Drosophila melanogaster: one gene and its partners. The protein of the gene in region 2 interacts with the protein of the main gene of each other region in a pairwise test. Each region holds a gene or a part of one and is shown on either strand. Other genes may lie near its edges. The genes, in order: Tsp42Ej, ND-39, PolH and CG10927.

Region 1 (4,716 bases), on a different chromosome or scaffold from region 2:
ATTTTCGATTCCATGAAAACGGAATGCGTACTTGCTTGTCGATTTGCAGAAAAATGTATTCATTTAAATTCCTGTGGGAACACAGATGGCTAATTTACATTTGTAATACATTCTTATAGCACAGAATTACCAATTTTTATTCATATGCATGTGAATATATGCATATGTTAAGAACTCACCGCGTTCAGAGTATTAAGAGTGTTAAGGAAACACTTAACGCAACCGGAAGTGCAGCCCATCCTAGTGCTACGATTAAGCTGTTTTTGTAAAATTCCAAACTAATTCCTCTTGAATAATTAGTAATAGAGAGTAATCTTTGTTGTATGATCGAACCTGCCAGATCGGAGTTCCGATAGACAATGAATTTCAGATGCAAATATTTGCCGGCAGCACGTAAAATCCCAAAATCACGATCTGCGCTCTTCAATGTTCTTTTGTTTTTCAGATCTTCGCAGCCGAATGATGCCGAATTCAATGAGAGAGAGATATAACTGCGGGGAACTCGTTTAGGCTATGGAAAGTATTTATTTTCTAATGGCATTTTAGCTAATTTGGTTAATTTTTATTATCAATAATCATGCAGGGGTATCCTCGGCCATCAGTCGTTGATGGGGGTCTCCTCGTCCTTTATCTTGGTTTTGGCATACTTGCGAGCCTTGCCCAAATGGTAAGCGGTGAACAAGCCCAAAAACTGAAAAATACATAAATTGTAATAATATAATATTGATATGGAATCGAAATCGAATAGACAAGCGAACTTTGTTAAAAAAATATTTTACTGTCTTAACGTCCTTACTACTTTATAACTTTATAACATCAAGCAAAAGCTCAACAACTGTGTACATAAATAGTAACGATCGCACCTTTGACATATTTAGTTTAAAGAAAACTTTAGTAACAAAAATGGTTTGAATGAAAAAACACACATCTTATCTTGGCAGGGATTTCTATTTAAGCGTGACGAATAAAAAAGTAGTTAAAATGTGTTCACTGAGTCAGTTGTGTGCGTTAATTCAAAAGTTATTGGATAACTCTTCCATAAGCGACGTGCCGAAACATACCCTTGTGCTCAAGTACCCTTGTGGCAAGTGAATTTTACCCTGCGTATGGTTTAATGTCTCACCTCGAGGGCAATGATCGCCATGCAGCTGTAGTAGTTGAGCTCCGCCTGCATTCTCAGAGTAGCTACCGCCTTGGTGGAGCATCCCTCCTCGTAGACGTGCGCCGGCTTGGAGCAGTCGAAGGCGTAGCAGCAGCTGCTGGGCAGGGCGCCGTGCTCCTCCTGAAGGTAGTCCTGCGGTCCCTCAATGCCGCAGCAGCCGAAGAGGCTGTGCACTGGCTGCATCTTGTCGTCGCTGTGGGTCTTTCGCTCGAAGAGGTCGCGCATGCGCTCCTCGAACCTGCCCATCAGCTGCTCCCGCATCGCCGTGAAGGTGAAGAGGTAGGAGCCCAGGGCGGCTATAACCAGGCCACTGCAAATTAGGTACTGAATGCAAAGAGGTTAGTCTGTGACTTGCAGTTGTGAACGCAGTTTACTCACGTATATGGAATACTTGTACGACACCTTCAAGGCCACGTACATGCCCAGGAAGGCGACTCCGAAAACTGCTCCTCCGCAAAGTGCCGACCCATAGCTGCCGTAGACGGAGACGGCCGAACCCCAGGTGGTCACGCCACAGGAGAAGAAGAACACGTTGCACGTCTGAACGAAAGGGAAACAAAATAGTTAGTTAAGTCCTTAGTACTAAGGAAAATTATGGACTAAATTACTTCCTAATCTATTTCTTCTTGAACGAACATCTTTCTCGCAGAGTTAGAAACTAAAACTAAAAGTGTGGCCCCAATAACTTAATAAATTACTTGCCAAGGTTGTGCGTATGAACTTCAGGAACTAGCTATATGGAATGCATTATTATTTAACACCTACCGATAAGGCGTAATAGTTTTAGGGTTTATTATTTTTAATAGGTGAAAGTTACTTATTAAATCGTTGATCAGCCAGCTTCAAAGTCTAAATATACATTTTGTACTGACCTAATAATATTTTAATGCCGCGACAAGCACTTTAAATAATAAATTGCACGTGTAGTGCTGGGGTGCCAAATAAATAAATACAAGCACGATTCATTAGCGTCTACAGCGTCATTTTTTCAACTTACATTTGGCAGTCAGACATTACCAGCTATCCATCAACTAGTTTTCTAAACTATGGTAAAATGAGCATTAGGCATTTGGCATTTGTACTTGCTAAGCACCAAAATGAAAATCTATGAGACTATAGCATGCAAATGCAAGAACATTTTATGCTTTCATGCTTAATCAATCTCTGACATTTGTAAACAGTGTCCCATGTGCATAATTGTATAAGAATAAATTATATAATATAATAGTGAATTTAATTGGCGTAAGCCACCCAGAATTGCGGGCCATTTATAGATATTGCAAAAATTACAAACAGCTGGCCGGCGGAATTATGTAAGTATGTGAACAGGTATTATGCATTTATAAATATTTTTTGAGATTGCATCGATTTGTTTATAGTCTTTAGCGGCTCATTGTCACCAATTTTTGCTCTCTTGCGAAAGATGTGAACTTGGGCGCAATATTGATTTTTCGATTTTGGCTCATTGCTCGCATCACCGGGTGTTGTGCAAGATTCCCATTTGGGTCAGGCTCGGGAAAATGGGAAAGCTCTGGAATGGGGAAATGCGCATCTTTTTCACTTACCACAATGAGAATGCAGGTGACCAGTAGGCCGTACTTCCAGGGTGTTATGGGAAACGACTTCTCCATGTTGCCACAATGTCGCACGTGAGTTTCCTTGGCAGTTATGCTTGTGAACCAAAGTATCTGGCTGCCGATAGAATGGAAGATATGACCTCCGAGTTCCGGAAACTCGCTCGATTCGCACTATGCCACTGGCTTAGGGCAGGGCATTGTTTACTTGCGCCCAGAGTAGGTCTACACCCACATTAAACTGGGCTCGGAGCTCTGAGCCCTATTTCGGATTGGAACTCGTGGTGTTGATGCCACAAAAGCTGCCCTGCGACTGAGCGAAAAAATGAGAGACCCAAGGGCCCCTCTCGAATCTGAACTTTTTGGTCTGGCGCGTTCTGCGTTCGCTGGCAAACTGAAAGCGGGAAAAGTTTTGTTTTTCTCTCTTCCCGTGAGGACTGTTGTTCCCCAATCAAAATAAACCACACAGAGCGCACTCGCTCTCTCAAAAGAGAGCGTTGCACTTGGGTCAGAGCTCCAAGTCATGTCGACTGGCGTTTCCACACGGTGGTGTTTTCGAATTCTTATCGGGTCTGTCATGAGCGTACATATGTGAACTGCTGAATGATTGAATGGATTCGAGCTTAAGCAATTAGGAAAATATTAATGTATCCAGAGGTTTTTAGCACCGATGAAGCTATTAAACAACACAACCAAGGTTTAATTCTTTTTTCTTTCTTTTACGAGAGTGATGATGATGGTGACAGTTTTGTGGAAGATTGCCTAGAATGCTGTGAATACCAGCAACGATTCACCGAGTTGCTATGCATTCTAGCGCTCCTTTAGCGGCTTTGATCTCCAGCTCCATTTTGATGGTGTTTATCAGGTGCACATTGGTGGCTCGATCCTTTCCTTCTCGGTGGCGGATGTCAGACTTGCCGGTGCCAATGTGCACATTCAAGGCGTCGTTTCTGATTAAATTCTTGGTGCACAGATAACAAGGATAGGCCACCTCGCCAATGACCTCGATCTGGATGATTGAATTATTGGCCTCACTCAGGGACTTTTGCAGCGTGTCAATCTCCTCCAGGGCCGCCGTATGCGCCTGAGGCTGGCATACTGAGACATCACAAAGGACTTGACAATGTCACTGTCCAGAATGTGTCCAGTGAAGCCTCCGAAAGGTGGGCACTAGCTCGAAGTTTTGCTCCCTGAGAATCCTCTCCGTTTCATGGGATCCTGCCAGAAATGCCGTTGTGAAGTAAGTGATAACTATTATTTTTATAATTTTCCATACCCATAAGCCTCCAATCCAGTGGACCATCAGGATACTATCTATTGAATATTTGCCCTTAAATCCCATTTCTCTGAAAATAAATCAGCCACTTCTTCTTCGCCTTTTTTTTTTTTTTGGTTTGGGTATTGACCGATATTTCTTTTTGTGTATCGATATTGGGTCGAAAAACAAGGCATATCGATATATTATTATCTAATTATCAAGCCGCCAACGCCAAAATGTCTGCTACGTTAAACTTAGAAGACGCTACAAAAAATCAACCAACAGTGCGAGGTTGCAATTGCAACGCTAAAAGGAAGGAGTTTTTTCCTCCAATTTAAAAAAAGAGTCTGGCGGCTGAACACATCAGAATCACTTTGAGCAGACTCCTGAGCTTTTTAAGGGATAAACACATGCTTTTGGCAATTATTGTCGACGACGAAAGCATGAACATCCCCAGCCGCACGCTGCGTGTCCACTGCTCTATGACATGGAGCACTGTCTGGCAAACTTTCGGAGATACTGTGAAGGCCACTGGACTAACCCCAGGAATGGGCCAACTGTGTGTACGTGGAGGAACAATGCGGAAATTTAAAGCGGAGATGATAATGATTCGCAACTGGAGACTCTTCAGTGTAAGCGGAGAAGATTTCTTCTTAAGCTTATTGAAAGTGAAACAACTTAAAGACTTCGAGTTTCGATGCAGTGTTGCGATGAAGAAACAG
Region 2 (7,235 bases):
ATAGGGTAATGCAAGGTCAACAGACTTAATGCCATTTTTTGGGGTAAAAGATTTAATGTACACTTGTTTTCGAAACCGATTAAAAAAAAAAGAAAAAGTTGGCATATCACGCTAGATTGAATAAAGTAATTGCTCGTATTTATTGGATTTGTATATTTAGCGAATTTTTTTTTTTCAAATTTAATGCTTACTGGTGGTAAACTGTTTAAATAAAGAAAATTAATATGCAACATATCGGTATTGTTATTGATATCGCCGCTAAACCTTTGATTTAACATCACTCGAAATATTTATTGAAGTGAAAACAGAAGCAATCGGCAAGTAAAATGAACAACTTATAACGTGTAATTAAATTTATATATAAATTTCTTTTAGTTTGTATGTTAACTAGCTATTTAATTGCGAATAAGTCCAATGTTCAATTGAATGTCCGTCCGTCCGTCTGACCGTACATATTTTTTTAAAGATATTTGTAAAAAGTTGAGACAAGGCATGCATCCCGACATCTGAGTAACAGGTATCTGGTTATTTTATAGATGCTATGTATAGTTAAACAACTATTTTACAAAAATGAAATTGCTCACAGATTAGTATTGCGAGAAATCTTTTTACTTTCGAGAATTCAATTGCAAAATTTTAAGGTTTTTATGGAATGTTTTTTCACCCCTTTTGTCATAATTATTTGATTACCCTCGAATCCGGACCTTCTCAGATGGCGTAAAGTCCAGATCGTAAATCTGAGCCAAGAGTTGACAGCTCAATTGCCAATTAGACCAATGCAACAGCTCACTCCATTAATTGAAAAAATAAACAAAAAGTGAAGCGTGCAGTAAAATTCGGGACCAATAACATTTGCTTTTTGTTTTGATTTGCCATCATCAGGTTTCAGGTGCATTAATTCTGTTTGCTTGTTTAATTTTTTGCTTCTTTCGGACCATTGCCTGCATACAAATGAAGTTTGGCAACAAACAGCATTTGTTGCCTATTGGTTTTTGCGTAGATTTTAAACTGAATTACAAAAATACTTCCTATACGGGTCCCTGGCCTGTTTTCAAAACAACCAGCAGCTAAAATCTAACAATTTTGACCATTTCGGACACGATGACAAGGTTGCCGATGCCTTTGGAATTTCTAATTCGCAAGGGAACGGTGTTATTTAAAAATTCTATCAATATTGTTATTGTCTATCAGTGGGCCACAGACAACGTGTGCTGCCAATATTTTATTACTTTGTTGCCCATGAGGCGCATTTGAACATTTCGAACGCGCCAAAATCGGACTCCTGATAAGCAGATAGAGATAGTTGTCTACCGACCCTATCGCTATCTCACCCCAGGTGATTAAGTGGTAAGTGGACAGGTCTGACTGATAAGAGCGATTTGGAAAACAATATCGAAAACAACTCGGCTTTCAGTGGGTTAAAATGCCATCACTAGTCGAGGGATTGATTCGATGGGGAATGTTGATGTTGCCACCGGTAAATGTTGCCAAGTGGAAATTAATATTTTTAGGGGGGCTCTCTTATAATATGGGATGTAAATATGACTTATTTAGGTAATACAGCCTTAAAATCATAGGTACATTATAAATATAAGATGTAAGATAAGAGTTAATAAAGATGGAACAACTAGGCGAAAGTAAGTATGCAGATTTTAAGTTATTCCATATTAGTAAGTAGTAGGCTATAAGTTAAATTGCATTGCACTCGGCTAAATTTTCCGTACTAATTGTGTGTTCTATAAAAATCCAGCTTGTATCTTACTGCTTTTTAGCCCATAATCATAAAAGTGAAACCCAATCCACGTTTTTTTTCGCGAATTCACAACCCTGACCACCTGTACATAGTAAGTGATGAAGCACACGATTCAATGAAATATTCCCATTATAATAAACAAAGAAGTGTAAATATTTTAATTACGATTTTATGCACCACCATCTACGTGCAATCTGCACCTATATACATAAGTATATATCTATATATGTACATATGTATGCTTTCCCTGCATCCTCATCGAAAACGTGATCAGTTGGGGTCCGAGAGATTTTTTGATGATTTACAAAAACCCATTAAAATAATACGAAGTTTGATATTAATGCTGATTACTAAAGACCCACTTCAATTACACTTAATGACTCGAAATTACAAAACGACAAATCTAATTGAATTAAATTTATAAACATACAATGCGGTTGCAGTGATAGAAGTAATAAATACAATAATAGCTTTCTATGTAAGAGATTAAAATATAATAATTTTTCTTTTAATATAAATGTAAAATTTTTGGATCTCACGCTACTCTTTAGATTAATAATTTGAGTTGGCTAATATAACCGTGCAACCAAAAATGCATTATTAACTCAATCGCAAACAAATTAGTTTGTTTATTATTTCATAGAGTAATTGTTTATAATATTTTGGAACTGGAAACACGGCCGAGCTGGGTTCTTCAGAACTTGAGCCAAGGCCCGGGATTAATTTCCATTGAATTAGCTAAGGGTGAGAATTTGTTTTTAGCTTAATCTCGATGCGACTGGCAGGTGGATCGTAGACAGATATAACCGTTAATTAGCATTAATTTCGATCGAACTTATTTTTATACACCGCAGAAGTAATACATATTTCGGGCAATATTTTTTCACATCGGTGCCAAGAGGCGCGAGGCGTCTTAATAATCACTTGCTAAATGGATCTACAATCTGCCCGCTAACGAATCAGTCATCTATATACAATCTGCGAGTATCCAAAACTGCGCGCATTAGGGCGTATTTTTCCGATTCCTGGGCCCAGATACAAAGCCGAATTTCGCATACGGCCGAAAAGCCCTTATCAGTCTAGACCCCTAATACTGTGGCTAAGAACTGGAGAATTACCGTCTTTTGGACTCTGATAAGCGAAAAAAGGCCTGCGTTCGCTTTACGTTTTCTAATTATAACCGCGGCAGCGTAAATTGCTTTGGAAAATGTAGCTTTTCCTATTTTATTGTTATTATTATTATTATTATTATTCACACACACGCACGTTAGCGATTTAAAATATTTCGAGGCACACGCGCTAATTTTTTCGGGAGCGAATCATTCAGATCGTTGTTAACTGCAGCGCGGCTCAAACACGAATGATCGCAAAAGACGACGAGAAATATACATATGGCAAAATAAACGGAAAACCCGAAGCACCATGCCGAACTATAAGTACTCTTTTAATTGAAATTCGAAATGTTATAATACTAGTAAAGCTATGTTCTACAAAAACAAGAAGATTTCCTCATTATAATTCTGAGCATTCATAATTGAATTAAAATTAATTTTAATTTTTTCACTAGAACGGATATGTTCCAAGAGTAGTTAATTTATTTATTTATTTACTTTTGAGTTACTCTTCGTAAGGGTATTAAAGGCAAAGAGAGATGGTCGAATAGGAGCAACAACAACACCAATAACCACGGCCGGCAAAACAAACGAAAAGCCCGCAAATTTAAAGGGTGGGGAGCAGAGATAAGGAAGAGAGAGGTAGAAAGCAACAGTGATAGTATTTGTGTGGGCGAAAAAGTGCGTGAGCAGGTTGAAAAAAAATCAGCTGATTGCATGTGAGCTATTAAAGAGAGCGAAATGAGAGCAGAAAAAGGAGAGTGAAATTTATACATATGTTGCTTGTTTATGCCTGTCAAATGTAGGTATGTTTGTATTGTCGTTATCTAGGTAGGTTTATGAGACAACAACAATGCCATAATAAATATTATAAATACATATTTACATATGAAGCTATGGTAATCTCTATAGAATTACATCCTCAATTGTCAAAAGCAGTGATCTGTGCAGATATTTAACTTATCAAACGCACAACTGAAGTCAACAAACAAAAAACAATGTGTTTTATTATAACAATAATATAAACAATGTGTTTTATTATTTATTTTTAGACAGGGTGATTCAATAGAAATATCTGACACGAAATTTACTCTTTATACACAAATACGTACATATATATGTATAAGAACGCGTTTGACACACTGACAAATGTTTATAATTTTTTGTATATCCTGACCCACTGCATGTGTATAATGTAATGTTACAATACCAGAAATATTTTTGTATCGAAGGAGGTTATTCATGACAGTCGCATTCGCCTGAAATCCCATTATCTTAACCAATCTAAAAACAAATTACTAACTTATATACCCTCGGTACTAATTAGTTTACCCAAGCTGTTACATTCAAACCAAATTAGCTAGTGGTCCGCACTTTATAACCGCAAAAATGTGTATCCATTATGAACAGTTTCACCACAAGCTCACTTTTATTTCACTGCTTATCGGTGTTTTTGGTCCGTAGAAATAGTTAATCCTTAGTTGGCCGATTTCGAACAGATAACACTAAGTTTTCCCGATGCTCTCGGTTTTACAGCTCGAAGGCGACTGCTAACTGAATTCTTTGTCCGTAGAACCCAAGCCGTGCCGAATTAAACGATCCGCGGGCTGGAAATTGCAATTAAGCCACGCACATTAGATAAAAAGTTTGCGGTGTGACAAGCAAGGCAGTTACTTTTCAACTGGGACACGGTTAGCTTATGTCTTATTTGCCAACAAATATTTATAAACTAGTGCCAAGCAAGAAGAGTGGTTTATATGACGGTTTAATTACCGCTAAGAGGCTAAGATATCCCCAAGGTTGTCAAAGTAATTATGAGGTAAAATTATTAGTGCCACCTAAATAGTATGAATAATTCGAGATCATAGTAGTTATAACCGTAGTAGCATTTACCGATATTTGATAATCAGATAATTAAAATATGTTTGGTATGCAATGGCCACGAACACGGTCTATTGGTTATGAGGTCAATTATTTACATATTTAGGGTTAACTTTAGGTTAACAGGGCTTTTTAAAAACTATAGAAAAAACTGTTACTTTCCAAATCAAATGTTTTTCTTCAGTCTGGCAGCTTTGTTTGACGGTAGTTTTTGATATCAACCTGTCAATTCTAGTATATTCCAATTGCTACGCCACGGTCACACTGTCGTGGGGCAAAATAAAAAACTGGCCTGTTCCGAAATAAAATAGGATTTTAAGCGTAAATTAACCGAATCGAGTTGGTCCAGTGTGCCGGTGCGAAATGGCCGCCATAGTACTAACCCGTAATCTCCAGCTGGCCAGTGAGTACCGTGCCTGCGGTCGAAAACCGCCAGGCAATCCAATTATGTAATACGATGTTTGTGGCTAACTTTTGGCTCATTCTCTGTCCAATTCCGGATACTTAGAGCACCACGGCAGTGGCGTGGTTGGAGTTTTGTGCCTGCGTGGATATTCCGCCGCTGCTGCGCCGCCGGAAGATGGTCCACGTCCACTGAAGACCACCAATCCGGCTGCCATGAAGCGCGGAACTGGCGGACGTAGCAGTTTCAATGGGATCGTGGCGACCGTTTTCGGTGCCACCGGTTTCGTGGGCCGCTATGTCTGCAACAAACTGGGCAAATCTGGCACCCAGATGATCCTGCCCTATCGCGGTGACGATTCGGATGTTATCCGTCTTAAGGTCACCGGTGATCTTGGCCAGGTACTCTTTCACTTCTACAACCTGGAGGATCCCGCCTCCATTCGTGACGCAGTCAAGCACTCGAACGTGGTCATCAACCTGGTGGGCAGGGACTTCGAGACCAAGAACTTCAAGTTCAAGGATGTCCATGTCAACGGAGCGGAGAGGATCGCTAGGTGAACATCATAGCCAGCATTATTTGCCTGCCCACTTCTTCATTCTAACTTTGCATGACGTAAACCACTTTTATTTCTTCAGGATTGCGCGCGAGGCTGGCGTGGAGCGCTTAATCCACCTGTCCTCTTTGAACGTGGAGGCCAATCCCAAGGATCTGTACGTCAAGGGCGGCAGCGAGTGGCTGAAAAGCAAGTACGAGGGTGAGCTTCGCGTACGCGACGCCTTTCCCAACGCCACGATCATCCGCCCTGCGGATATCTACGGATCCGAGGATCGCTTCTTGCGCTACTACGCCCACATCTGGCGCCGTCAGTTCCGCTCGATGCCGCTGTGGCACAAGGGAGAGAAGACCGTCAAGCAGCCCGTCTACGTTTCGGACGTGGCCCAGGCCATCATCAACGCCGCCAAGGATCCGGACAGCGCTGGCCGCATCTACCAGGCTGTGGGGTAAGTCAATCTCCGAGTCCAAGTATTTGTACCATGTACATTTTCTTAATTTCCTTTATTCTCTGCAGACCTAAACGCTATCAGTTGAGCGAGCTGGTCGACTGGTTCCACCGCCTGATGCGCAAGGACCAGAAGCGCTGGGGCTACATGCGCTACGACATGCGCTGGGACCCCACCTTCCTGCTGAAAGCCAAGCTGAACAGCTTCATCTGCCCCGGCACCCCGATTGGCGGTCTGCATCCCGCTCGCATCGAACGCGAGGCTGTCACCGACAAGGTTCTGACTGGTGTCCCCACGCTTGAGGATTTGGGCGTCACGCTGACCACAATGGAGCAGCAGGTGCCATGGGAGCTGCGTCCCTACCGCGCCGCCCTCTACTACGACGCCGAGCTGGGCGAGTTCGAGACTCCCTCGCCGCCCAAGTGCATCGAGGCGCGCGATGAACTGCGTCTGTTTGCCTAAGCGGAGCGAAGTAGCTGTCTGTGTTGATTGGAAATTTTTAGTTGGAATTGTTTAAGGCGATGCGTCAATAAAGAGAAGTCGAAAGACCCAATGACAACGAAGGAAACTTATATTTCCAAATATTATATAGACATTGATATATGTATTTATTTCGTGCATTTAAATATAAAAAAATTTATAAATACTTTTGAAAAAAAAGTCAAATGGCTAGAAAAGTTTGATGTCGGAAAAAAGATTGGCAGCTCGAAATACCTTTGGTATTTTTCGGTATCTTATTGAGGTGACATCGCTCCGGCAACTAAATCAAAACAAATGAAATCGCTGTCATCGTCTGGCAACGCTTCGCCCGTCCGATTTTTCTTCCTTTGCGACCAGGAGCTTTTCTGCAGCAGTTTCCTCCGAAACTTACGCCCGTGCAGATTTATGGCCGGAAAATCATAGTACGGAAAATTCGATTTCCCAAGTTTTCTGAGTCTGTGTGTGTGTGTGTTTTTGGTGTGTGTAAAGATTTTCAACTTTTCAGCTTGGTTAAGCGGTGAAAAAAGAATATATCAACAACAACACAAGCGCGCGCCCGCCTCTCTTTTCGCGTTTTTGTGCGTGTGAGTGAGAGTGAGTGT
Region 3 (5,696 bases), 1.4 Mb from region 2:
GTTGGCAAACTGACCATCACTGCCAGCTTCCAGGTGCTCTATTTCTTCGCCTCAGAGATCTATCCCACGAATCTGAGAAACAGTCTGCTTAGCTTCTGCTCCATGATGGGCAGGTTTGGTTCCATGCTGGCCCCGCAGACGCCTCTTCTGGTGGGTGCTCAAAGCTACAAGGATCTCCTGTTATATCTAAGTGCTTCCTTTCCCTTTCTCCACAGGCCAAGTATTATGCCAATGCTCCTGCCATGCTCTTCGCCGGCGCCGCCATCGTGAGCGGCCTGCTCACGCTGTTCTTTCCAGAGACCACCAACGTAGTTTTACCTACAACAGTGCAGGAAGCGGACGCCATAGGCGTCAAGAAGCAATCGAAGAGCAAGGATCTTGATCTAGTCGTCACGGCCACTCAAGCGCAGTAGTTCTAACGTAATCTTATTTTAAGGCAGCCTGCAAATACAAAGACAAATACATTTCTCTTCAAATGTGTTATAACGCTAAGAACAAACCATACTATACATATAAAATATTTAGCATTGACAGAGCGTTGTGTTTTATTAATTAACGGATGGATGGTAATGGTAATGATCAACATTAATACTTAAGCCTAAAATTGGAAAAATAAAACAAAAAAAATTAAATCTAAGAGTTTCATTACTCGATTTGAAAAAAAAAATAATAAACAGCAGTAAAAAAAAGAAATAAACAATCCTAATCAATTTGCTGTCCAGAGCCAGATTGAGATTTTAATAACTAGGATATGTGCTAGCAAAAAATTATTATTGTTTTTTAATTTGGAATTGAATGTGAAAATGTTTTAATCTTAAAGTGAAGTAAATTTGTCTGTGGTCCATTCGTAGGTACTTATACAGGTTCAAATACTTGGAGCGGTGTAAGGGTTTCTCTAATTGCTTTGGCTGAAAAACTGGGCAATTGTCTTTGTTCCGCTTGAAGATGCAGAAATGGTTGAGTTCAGTTTCTTCTGAGATTGTTTCTTTGGCTGAACTGGAGATATTTTTTCTTTATTCAGAGCTGCGGTTCGAGTTCGCAGATCCTGCTGGTTTAGTTCACGTTGAAGGTTTCTGGCTACGTGGTAGTCTAAGTGTTCCGGCATGTCTACACACTTGATGAAAGCCTTACACTCGGGGCACTGATTCATCTGTGGATCACTGGGCGCTTGCTCCTGAGTTGGTTTGGCGCGGAAGAACTTGGTTATGCTGTTACTCGGTGGTGCCGTACTGTAGGAACTGCTACCAGAACCAGCCGTCTTCTTGCTCTTTTTGGGTGGCGTCGGCTTAAGAGATATCTTCTGTCGGCTCTGCGTCCTCTCTTCCCGCTCGGTGCTTCTTAGCGTTCGGCTTAGTTCCTGGGCGAAGTGATGGTCTCTATGTGTTTGTAGGGACTTAACTTCGTCGGGAATGTTTGCTCCGCACTGATCGCATTTGATAGTAGGCAAGATATCGGTGCGAAGGTTGGGTACTGCAAACTCTACGTAACACTCCTTGTAATTACTTACAGAACTTTCGATCTCATCGAACTTTCTTTTTGATGTTGAAGGCTTCAATTCGTCTTCAGTAAGCGTGGGAGGCACAATACCAGTTTCAACGTATAAGTCATTCCCTGTTGAATCATTCAAGGTGTTTGGATCCTGTTCTTGTCCGGCATCGGATGACTGTCCTTCAGGCTTAGACATGTGGGTATCACTAGTTAACTCCGTCTCCTCTTCAGTGTCTTCTTCAAAATCTTTCGAATTGTCAGCCTCAATGGCGTCCAATTCCTCGGCCAGCTCCTGCACATCTAAGGAGTCCTCCCTCGATGTAACCGACCCTTGCTGTCCTGTCTTTTTTTGTTGTTTTAGGTACTGTGAAAAAAAGCTTTCCTTGAACTCCGCTGGTGTTGATGTGAGAACAGTTCCTTCAGTCCTTACGGCCGCATGAAGCTTATGTTTGTATTCCTCTACGAAATTCTTGTTTGGAGCACCTGCTGCAGCAGCCAAGGGATTCGCAGAAATGCCGTCTGCTTTCGCATCCTCTTTTTTAGCTCCTTGCAAATAGTTTGCAAAGAAGCTCTTCATCTTAAATTCGTCCGTTTGCTTCTGCTTTTTCTCCATTTCAACTTTAGGCAGTTGCCCTGGCTCATCTCCACTTACCCTTCGTTTCTTGGCAGCCTGGTTAGCAAACATCTCCTGCAGCTTGTTTTGCCCACTAGAGACGGTTTCGAACTTGCCAACACTAATGCCAAGGAACTTGATAGCATTGTTTAAAGCAGACTCGCTACCAGGACGCAGAAACGTTTTAGTGTTTGCCTTGATTAGGTCTAGAGAAAGCCTTACGATGGACTCCTGGTCGTAATCTCTGAGAGCAGTCGAGCGGGAGCTGGCCACCTCCTCGCCGTCAATGTCCTGCACATATTGCACCACCATATGTTTGGCCCTGCGATTGTTCTCGATGAAGTCCTTCTCAAGGCGGTCGTTGATCTCGGAGGAAAGCTCACCAAGCCAATGTTGAAGGGTTTTCAACCCCGTAATGTTATTTCGACCCGGAAACTTTTTACAGCAGCCAATGCTTTTCGAATAGAAGCGGGGAGTCACGGCTTCCAGGTCTATGCCGCGAGAGATGTTAAATAGCCAGGTTCTGGAATAAGAGGAAATAAGTTACTTTGAACGTGGTCTACTCCTCTTAAGGGACCCACCCATTCTTCTCGTCAAACTTGCGCTGCAGATCTACCTCCGAAAACTTGACCACCTGGCCCATGAACTTTATGCCTAATGTCTCACACACCACCTCACCGAATTTGCCACCCAGCCCCTTGATCTTGCCAACAGGCAAGGAGTCGAAGAGGCTGGCGGTCTCCGTCAACGGCAAAATAGTCTGCTTGTTGGGCTTGTTCATTCCAGCTGCCAACTTGGCCAGGATCTTATTGTGCGCTATGCCAGCCGAGCACTCGTAGCCTGTCTCTTTTTTTACAGCCGCGCGGACTTCACCTGCCACAGAGGCTCCAATAAGAAGCCGAATGTCGCTTTGTCGGACGGCGGGAAGGTCGTTTTGGTCGTAGGACATCTGGTAGCGTTCGTCGTCCATGTAGGGATTGGCGAAGCGATTTGTTATCTTGTTGACGTAGTCGCCAATGCTGGGATAGCCCACAGCAAAGGTGTTCACCAGTTCCTGCGGTTGCAATGCAAAGGCTCCCTGCAACGAGGAAAATAATAATAAAACGCTTTAAAATTATGTGCCAGAGCTTACACTCTGCATCTGCTGCATGCGATGGTTAACGGTCTCCGTTATGTCCAAGTACGCCTCATCCACGGAAGCGCGCTCCAGGAGCTGCGTAAATCGCTGCAGCACGTTGGCCACCTCCTTGCCGGCATCGCGGTACTTGCTAGTATCGGCCTTCTCCCGGATATTCGGCACCTGGCAGAGCACGATCTCCGGACACAGGTCCTTCGCCTCGTCGCCGCGCATGTGGCGAGTGACTCCCTTGGCACGAGCGGCGTAGTTCACTGCTATGATGCCGCCACCTCGCCAGGGATTGTACTGGACGACGGCCAGCGGGCGGTTGCGGTATTCCGGATGCTGCTTCTCCTCCACCTGGCAAAAGAAGCAGTCCATGTCCACCAGCAGGACCACGCGGTCGTACTTGTTCTGCATGCTGACATGGCTGCGTGCGCTGGACATGATTTCATTTCGTATTATTGCGCGAATTTCACTGCGCGCCAGGAGTGTGGCCGTGGCGGGGACTTCTTAAAATACCGATGCATTTTTGAATACTGAATACATTAAAGTGTTTCCCATATTTAAATCTGATAAAAGAATTCGGAATAATAATAATAAAAATATGCTCTTTAACACATATCAAAGCAGTTGTGTTATATCTTCGATATAAATCATTTCTTAGTTAGATATTCCTTAAAGTAAAAGTAAAGAATTTTGTTGAAAACATATTTTCGATAGTAGTGGAGCTTTATACTTTTAAAGACTCTCTTATTACTAAGCTATTTAGAAATTCAAAATTAGAGAGTATTAAATAACGTACCCTTGTATCGATGCTTTGTAGTCTAGCGTAGTTTGAAAAATACTTATCTCTACCCAATCCGTACTTCGCATTAGAGCAAAACCTGGTCACACTATATTGGATATTTTATAGTTTGTCGTTTCTCACTCGGAAATAATATAAACAAACGCGAGTAAATATTATGTGCAGTCCGGGGAGTCCTGGGAGTTATATTTACGTGGCATAACTACCACCTAATAATAAGTAACATATATTGTCGGAACATCTACGCCGAAGAAGAATGCATTTCAGAAATCCTTAAACCCTGTCTTCTGTTTTTCTGTATGGAATAATAAAACGAGTTTAAACGTAAGACATTGCCAAAGAGTAAATTATTTGCCAAGTTTCCAGCGGCACCTTCTAACAAAATGCTTAGATATTGATTTTTCCATATAAGCCGCTGCCAAAATGCAACTGAAAACGCACACACATCTCTTAGTGACCCCATTCCCCGCCGTAACACACATTTGCATGTTCTGGCTTCTCCATTTCCCAAGTTCATTTGGGTTAACGCACGGATTACGCGGGAATTATTGATTTGACCGAGCGACCAGAAATAAATCTCAATCCTTGTCTATTTCCGGCTATGCCACTTCCGTGTCCGCCTCCTGGCCGGCTGTTTTGATTGATGCGCCGAGTGGTATGTCCAGCGAATGTCCAATGGCTTAATTGGGCTAACTCACGTATAGCTACTCGGAATCGGGGTTGGGATACCGGGCCCACTTTAATCGCCTCATAGAATGCCGGTGGTGGTGGGCGGCGGAAATCAGGAAGGGCGTGTTTTTGTATACTATCGTGACCTAATTTCCTGTCTGTTTACTCTATGGTCAAAGCGTACAATACAACAACGCAGGACTTCCACCTGAAGTAAAGGTGCAGCACTGACCTATTGGAATACTTGATGCCGCACGACGTTGGGACGGGTTCTTGTTTTACCAAATGTACCACTCTCTCTTTTAAAAAAGGTGTTCAAAAGTTCGATTGCATATCTATGATTCTGAAAGACGGATGGTGAATGAAAAAGGTGTACTGCGAGTGATATTTTTGGATTTTCAATTTAAAATGTATTTATCACAGTTTTATTTGCTTCCCTACTTTTTGTGACTCCAGATAGTATACATACATATATCGTAGATTAACAAAATTTTTACCGATTAAAGATTTAATTTTGATCGCGACTTTATCTACAATCCCGAAATATTCTGCGGCTAACTCTTATTAAATTTAAGTGCTTCACTTTTTAACTGCCCTATCCTAGCCTAGCTTGCCCATATGCGCTAGCCTTAGGCCTCATCGGCACATCCACTCTTCCGATCCCTAACCCCAGTATAAGCGCACAATTATGCTAATGGTTCACATGCCCAAATAAGAACCACTTGAGCCCCGCTAAGCGGTCCGCCAATCCACTGTCACTCGGACTTCTCCCTTTCTCTGTCCCACGCTCAGTCAGAGAACTCCCTGCTCTAGTGGCTGATTCACGGTGAGGCCATCAGTCTGTGTACGTCCGGCGATGAAGTCACTCCACTAAGCTGAGGGCTTAGTTTGTAATTCTAGAGTGCCGTAAAAAAAGAATTCATCGTCTTTTTTGTAGAGAGCCACCATGGTGAAGATCCTGCAGGCCTACAACTTTGCCAGGCAGCAGACGTATGCCCTCA
Region 4 (3,303 bases), on a different chromosome or scaffold from region 2:
CGACAAGTACACGGCACCAGCCACGCCTCCACAGCTGCCGGAAGACAACCAGACCTTCGCCTCCCTGCTGCGCAACTCCAAATTAATTGATGTGGGTACATTATTTAAGTAATCCCATTGTTTATGTAATAACTTGTTGATTTCTGGAGCAGCTGGACAACGCCGAGGGCAAGGTGGTCAGTGGCAAGATCTTTCATGTGGTGGGCGATGATCTCTACATAGACTTTGGTTGGAAGTTTCACTGCGTCTGCAGTCGTCCAACACGCAATGCCAGGTGAGTTCAATATAATTTCCTGTCTCTTTATCCAATAAACCGCCTTTCCTACTTCAGCGACTATGTGCGAGGAGCCCGTGTTCGACTGCGCATCAAGGACTTGGAGTTGTCCACCAAGTTTCTGGGTTCGTCCAAGGATATTACCATTCTAGAGGCAGATTGCCATTTGCTGGGTCTCCTGTCCACGCCCACCCGCCAGTCGACGGCCAAAACAACGCCGAAAATCGAAGATATCCTATAAATCCTTTATTAAAACCAAGGTTTGTTAAACGTTACGTCAAGTCTTCATCCTCCTTGGTTGTGAACTGGAACACTTCGTAGTGATGGTTGAGTTCCCGCACCGAATGCAGTTGGAATCTCGTGGCTAGAGCTCCGTTTTCAGAGTTCTTAACGAAAAATACTCTTTTCGCCCTGCTATGTACCAGGGCCATGGAGCACATAAGGCAGGGTTCCTGCAGCAGATAGATATCGTAGCCGGTGCACAGATAGGGTCCGAATTTGGCCAGGTTATCTGCTCCTTGAACTGCGTCCACTTCTTTGCATTCTCTCGACTTTTCCGCTCCGAATGTCAGGTCTTTGTAGTCTTCATTGTTCATCAGGTAATCGTAGTAGGCTTTAGGAATACCCCGCAGAGTGGTATCCTTCTTGAAATCTTCGGTGAATGTAACCTCCGTTTTTGTGGCGCCTCCTTCTTGACTGCGAGCCACAAAATCGACGAGCATCATGCAGCAGTGCTCGTGCGGCCTACAAACTTCACCAGTTCCAGCAATGGACACAATGCTGGGTTGTCGCGGATCCACGCAGATGCCCACCGGACGATTGGCATTGACATCCCGCGAGAGCCTCACAAGCAATTGCCCGATCCTTTTGTGAAATGTGCGTTGTGCGGAGCTAAAGTTGCTGCCATTCCTCAGTGACTCCGAGTAGTGATTAGGGTGAAACTTGCAGGGCCAGTGCTTAAGGGTCTTCTCGTACTGCACCCGCAGTCGGGGCATCCGTTCCGGCACCTCCACCACCCGGACTCCCTGGCACAAAGCACGGAGCACGTGCTCCGAAAAGGCAAACTGTTCAAGGTGTTGTTCCAGGCTTTGAGACACTCCGATCTCTGAGCTGGGACATATGAGCACGCTGCGATCCTGGACGCGCTTTAGGTGTTGAAAGTGGGGCAATTTCTGTGAGAGCTCCTGGATGACCGCCTGGAGCTGCTGTTTCGTCTCCAACTCGCAACTGTGCGCCTTGATGAGCGCAATATCCTCGTCGAACTCATCGGAGAGGATGGCCCGGATCCCAGTTATGTCTTCATCCAGATTGGGTGATTTTCGAGCACGTTTGTTTGGTGGCGCGGATATATCCATTATTTACTTAATTCTTCAATTAGAAGAATGCCAATTGGAATCGATTGAAATAGGTTATCGATAAGTGCCAAGCGCTGGCGTTGAAACAGCTGTTTGGATATTAAGCGCCAACTTTGAAAAATGTCTTCTATTTAAAATATGCATTTAAAAATAATTTAGTGAAAGATTATACGTTTAAAAGTCTTTAAAGCTATTTAGCTTGGGAGCTGTTTCAAATATTTCCTACTTTTGATATACATTCCCTAATACTTAATCTAATCAGCTCAATAATCTGATCAATTGTCTAATTTGCATTATAATTCCTTACAACCAATATCTTTTTTGATGTCTACATGTAAGCAGTGCCCAGTCTGATACCCAAAGTTTAAATTCAAAATTCCAGTGAAATATGTGCTTGTGATTTCTAGTCAAAACTTAGAGGAAACATCGAAATGTGTCTGCGCTTGTTTTGCGGCTATTTGTCGCTTTACATTGGCTGCATCTTCATCGGCTTCACGGGGATGCTTCTAGCTTTAATGGTCTTTTCTGTGGGTCTATTCGAGATGATCAAGGGCAATCCGGAAACAGTGCTTGTGGTCATGGCAATGGTCTTTGGCATTGTCCAAGCCCTAGCTAAAATTCTTCTTCTCCTCGGAACGATGTGGGTAAGTGAATACTTTTATCCTTAAATTTGTAAAGATATCCAATCGCTGTTCTACAGGACATGTGCTGGGCCATGCTCTTGTCCTTTTTTATAGGTATTGCGGCCCTGGGGCTCCTCATCGCACTTGTGGTGCTCTTCTACATCCTCTTGTGGGACCCTCTGCACCTCCTTCTGGGCGGTTTTCTTAGCATACGTAAGTTGGTGAAAAAATTTTGAATTTCTTTTGGATCTGAAAACAAAAGAAGATAGAGAAGTAGATTAATACATTAACTATCGAGAACTTCTTTCTATAACACACACACAACATATAACACAAACAAGCAACAAAACGTAGTGGACTTAAAAAGTACATAAATTCTATTCACGTTCGATTTTTAATTAAAATAATATTTTTCTCTTATCCAGTCGAGATGTACTACGAATGGGTCATCATTTCAACCTGGTGGTGCTGTCGATCATGCACCCACGACTGCTAGGAGTTGCAGTTGGTTCCACTTGTTGCATGCATAGAAGATACAAACATACCATGTTGGAGATCGAACGCCTTGGAATGAGCATACTATGCAACTCTCAGCGATCTTCGCATCGGATGTAATACTGTGAGCACCGAGAGAGAGAGAGAGAACTTGTATTCGAATCCCCCCATTATTTGTGTATGAGGTGACTTCGTGCTCGGGTCTTCCGACTTGAGTGTCTTTCAAGTAAGTCAGTTCACTCTGAGACGCGCGCTGGATATGTCGTTCCTGGAGCGCTCGAGCTGTTCCTGCGAATGAGCGTGTGTGTGCCAGTGTACCGCCCCCTACCCGTCAAGAAAAAAAAAAGGAAATAAAAATATCGGCAGGAAAAATATCAAAAATTATATCTGAAAATACACAAGTGTATCTGCAAGTGCAGTCGTATATGTGAGACGAGAGTGTTTTCCATTTGCCGCAATTAGAAGTAACGGTGCGAAGGTGATTTGCACGGGAGAAACTGGAAAATCAGCGAAGCGCGAGATACTTGTATCTGCAATTTGTGTGTTTTCGTTTTGT

Evidence for each region.
Region 1: the proteins of ND-39 (region 2) and Tsp42Ej interact in a two-hybrid assay, tested with the Drosophila melanogaster proteins (one large-scale study listed by BioGRID).
Region 3: the proteins of ND-39 (region 2) and PolH interact in a two-hybrid assay, tested with the Drosophila melanogaster proteins (one large-scale study listed by BioGRID).
Region 4: the proteins of ND-39 (region 2) and CG10927 interact in a two-hybrid assay, tested with the Drosophila melanogaster proteins (one large-scale study listed by BioGRID).

What each region holds. Positions count from the first base shown.
Region 1 is NT_033778.4:7,038,555-7,043,270, reverse strand, and holds Tsp42Ej (tetraspanin 42Ej), read right to left. Parts: upstream 3,136-4,716; 5' UTR 2,794-3,135; coding exon 2,728-2,793; intron 1,703-2,727; coding exon 1,541-1,702; intron 1,487-1,540; coding exon 1,124-1,486; intron 692-1,123; coding exon 599-691; 3' UTR 509-598; downstream 1-508. Other genes in the region: Tsp42Ek (tetraspanin 42Ek), read right to left, coding at 180-239.
Region 2 is NT_037436.4:20,490,371-20,497,605, forward strand, and holds ND-39 (NADH dehydrogenase (ubiquinone) 39 kDa subunit), read left to right. Parts: upstream 1-1,711; 5' UTR 1,712-1,844; intron 1,845-2,871; exon of another isoform or gene 2,872-3,120; intron 3,121-4,292; exon of another isoform or gene 4,293-4,551; intron 4,552-4,976; exon of another isoform or gene 4,977-4,981; 5' UTR 4,982-5,109; coding exon 5,110-5,149; intron 5,150-5,254; coding exon 5,255-5,705; intron 5,706-5,787; coding exon 5,788-6,153; intron 6,154-6,221; coding exon 6,222-6,615; 3' UTR 6,616-6,714; downstream 6,715-7,235.
Region 3 is NT_037436.4:21,938,105-21,943,800, forward strand, and holds PolH (DNA polymerase eta), read right to left. Parts: upstream 3,709-5,696; 5' UTR 3,666-3,708; coding exon 3,234-3,665; intron 3,180-3,233; coding exon 2,683-3,179; intron 2,625-2,682; coding exon 896-2,624; 3' UTR 530-895; downstream 1-529. Other genes in the region: SLC22A family member, read left to right, coding at 1-150, 216-413; CG14562 (uncharacterized protein), read left to right, coding at 5,642-5,696. UniProt on the Drosophila melanogaster protein: DNA polymerase specifically involved in the DNA repair by translesion synthesis (TLS). Plays an important role in translesion synthesis, where the normal high-fidelity DNA polymerases cannot proceed and DNA synthesis stalls.
Region 4 is NT_033778.4:18,611,453-18,614,755, reverse strand, and holds CG10927 (uncharacterized protein), read right to left. Parts: upstream 1,667-3,303; 5' UTR 1,630-1,666; coding exon 547-1,629; 3' UTR 516-546; downstream 1-515. Other genes in the region: mRpS28 (mitochondrial ribosomal protein S28), read left to right, coding at 1-91, 153-274, 332-515; CG42697 (uncharacterized protein), read left to right, coding at 2,061-2,273, 2,330-2,465, 2,678-2,748.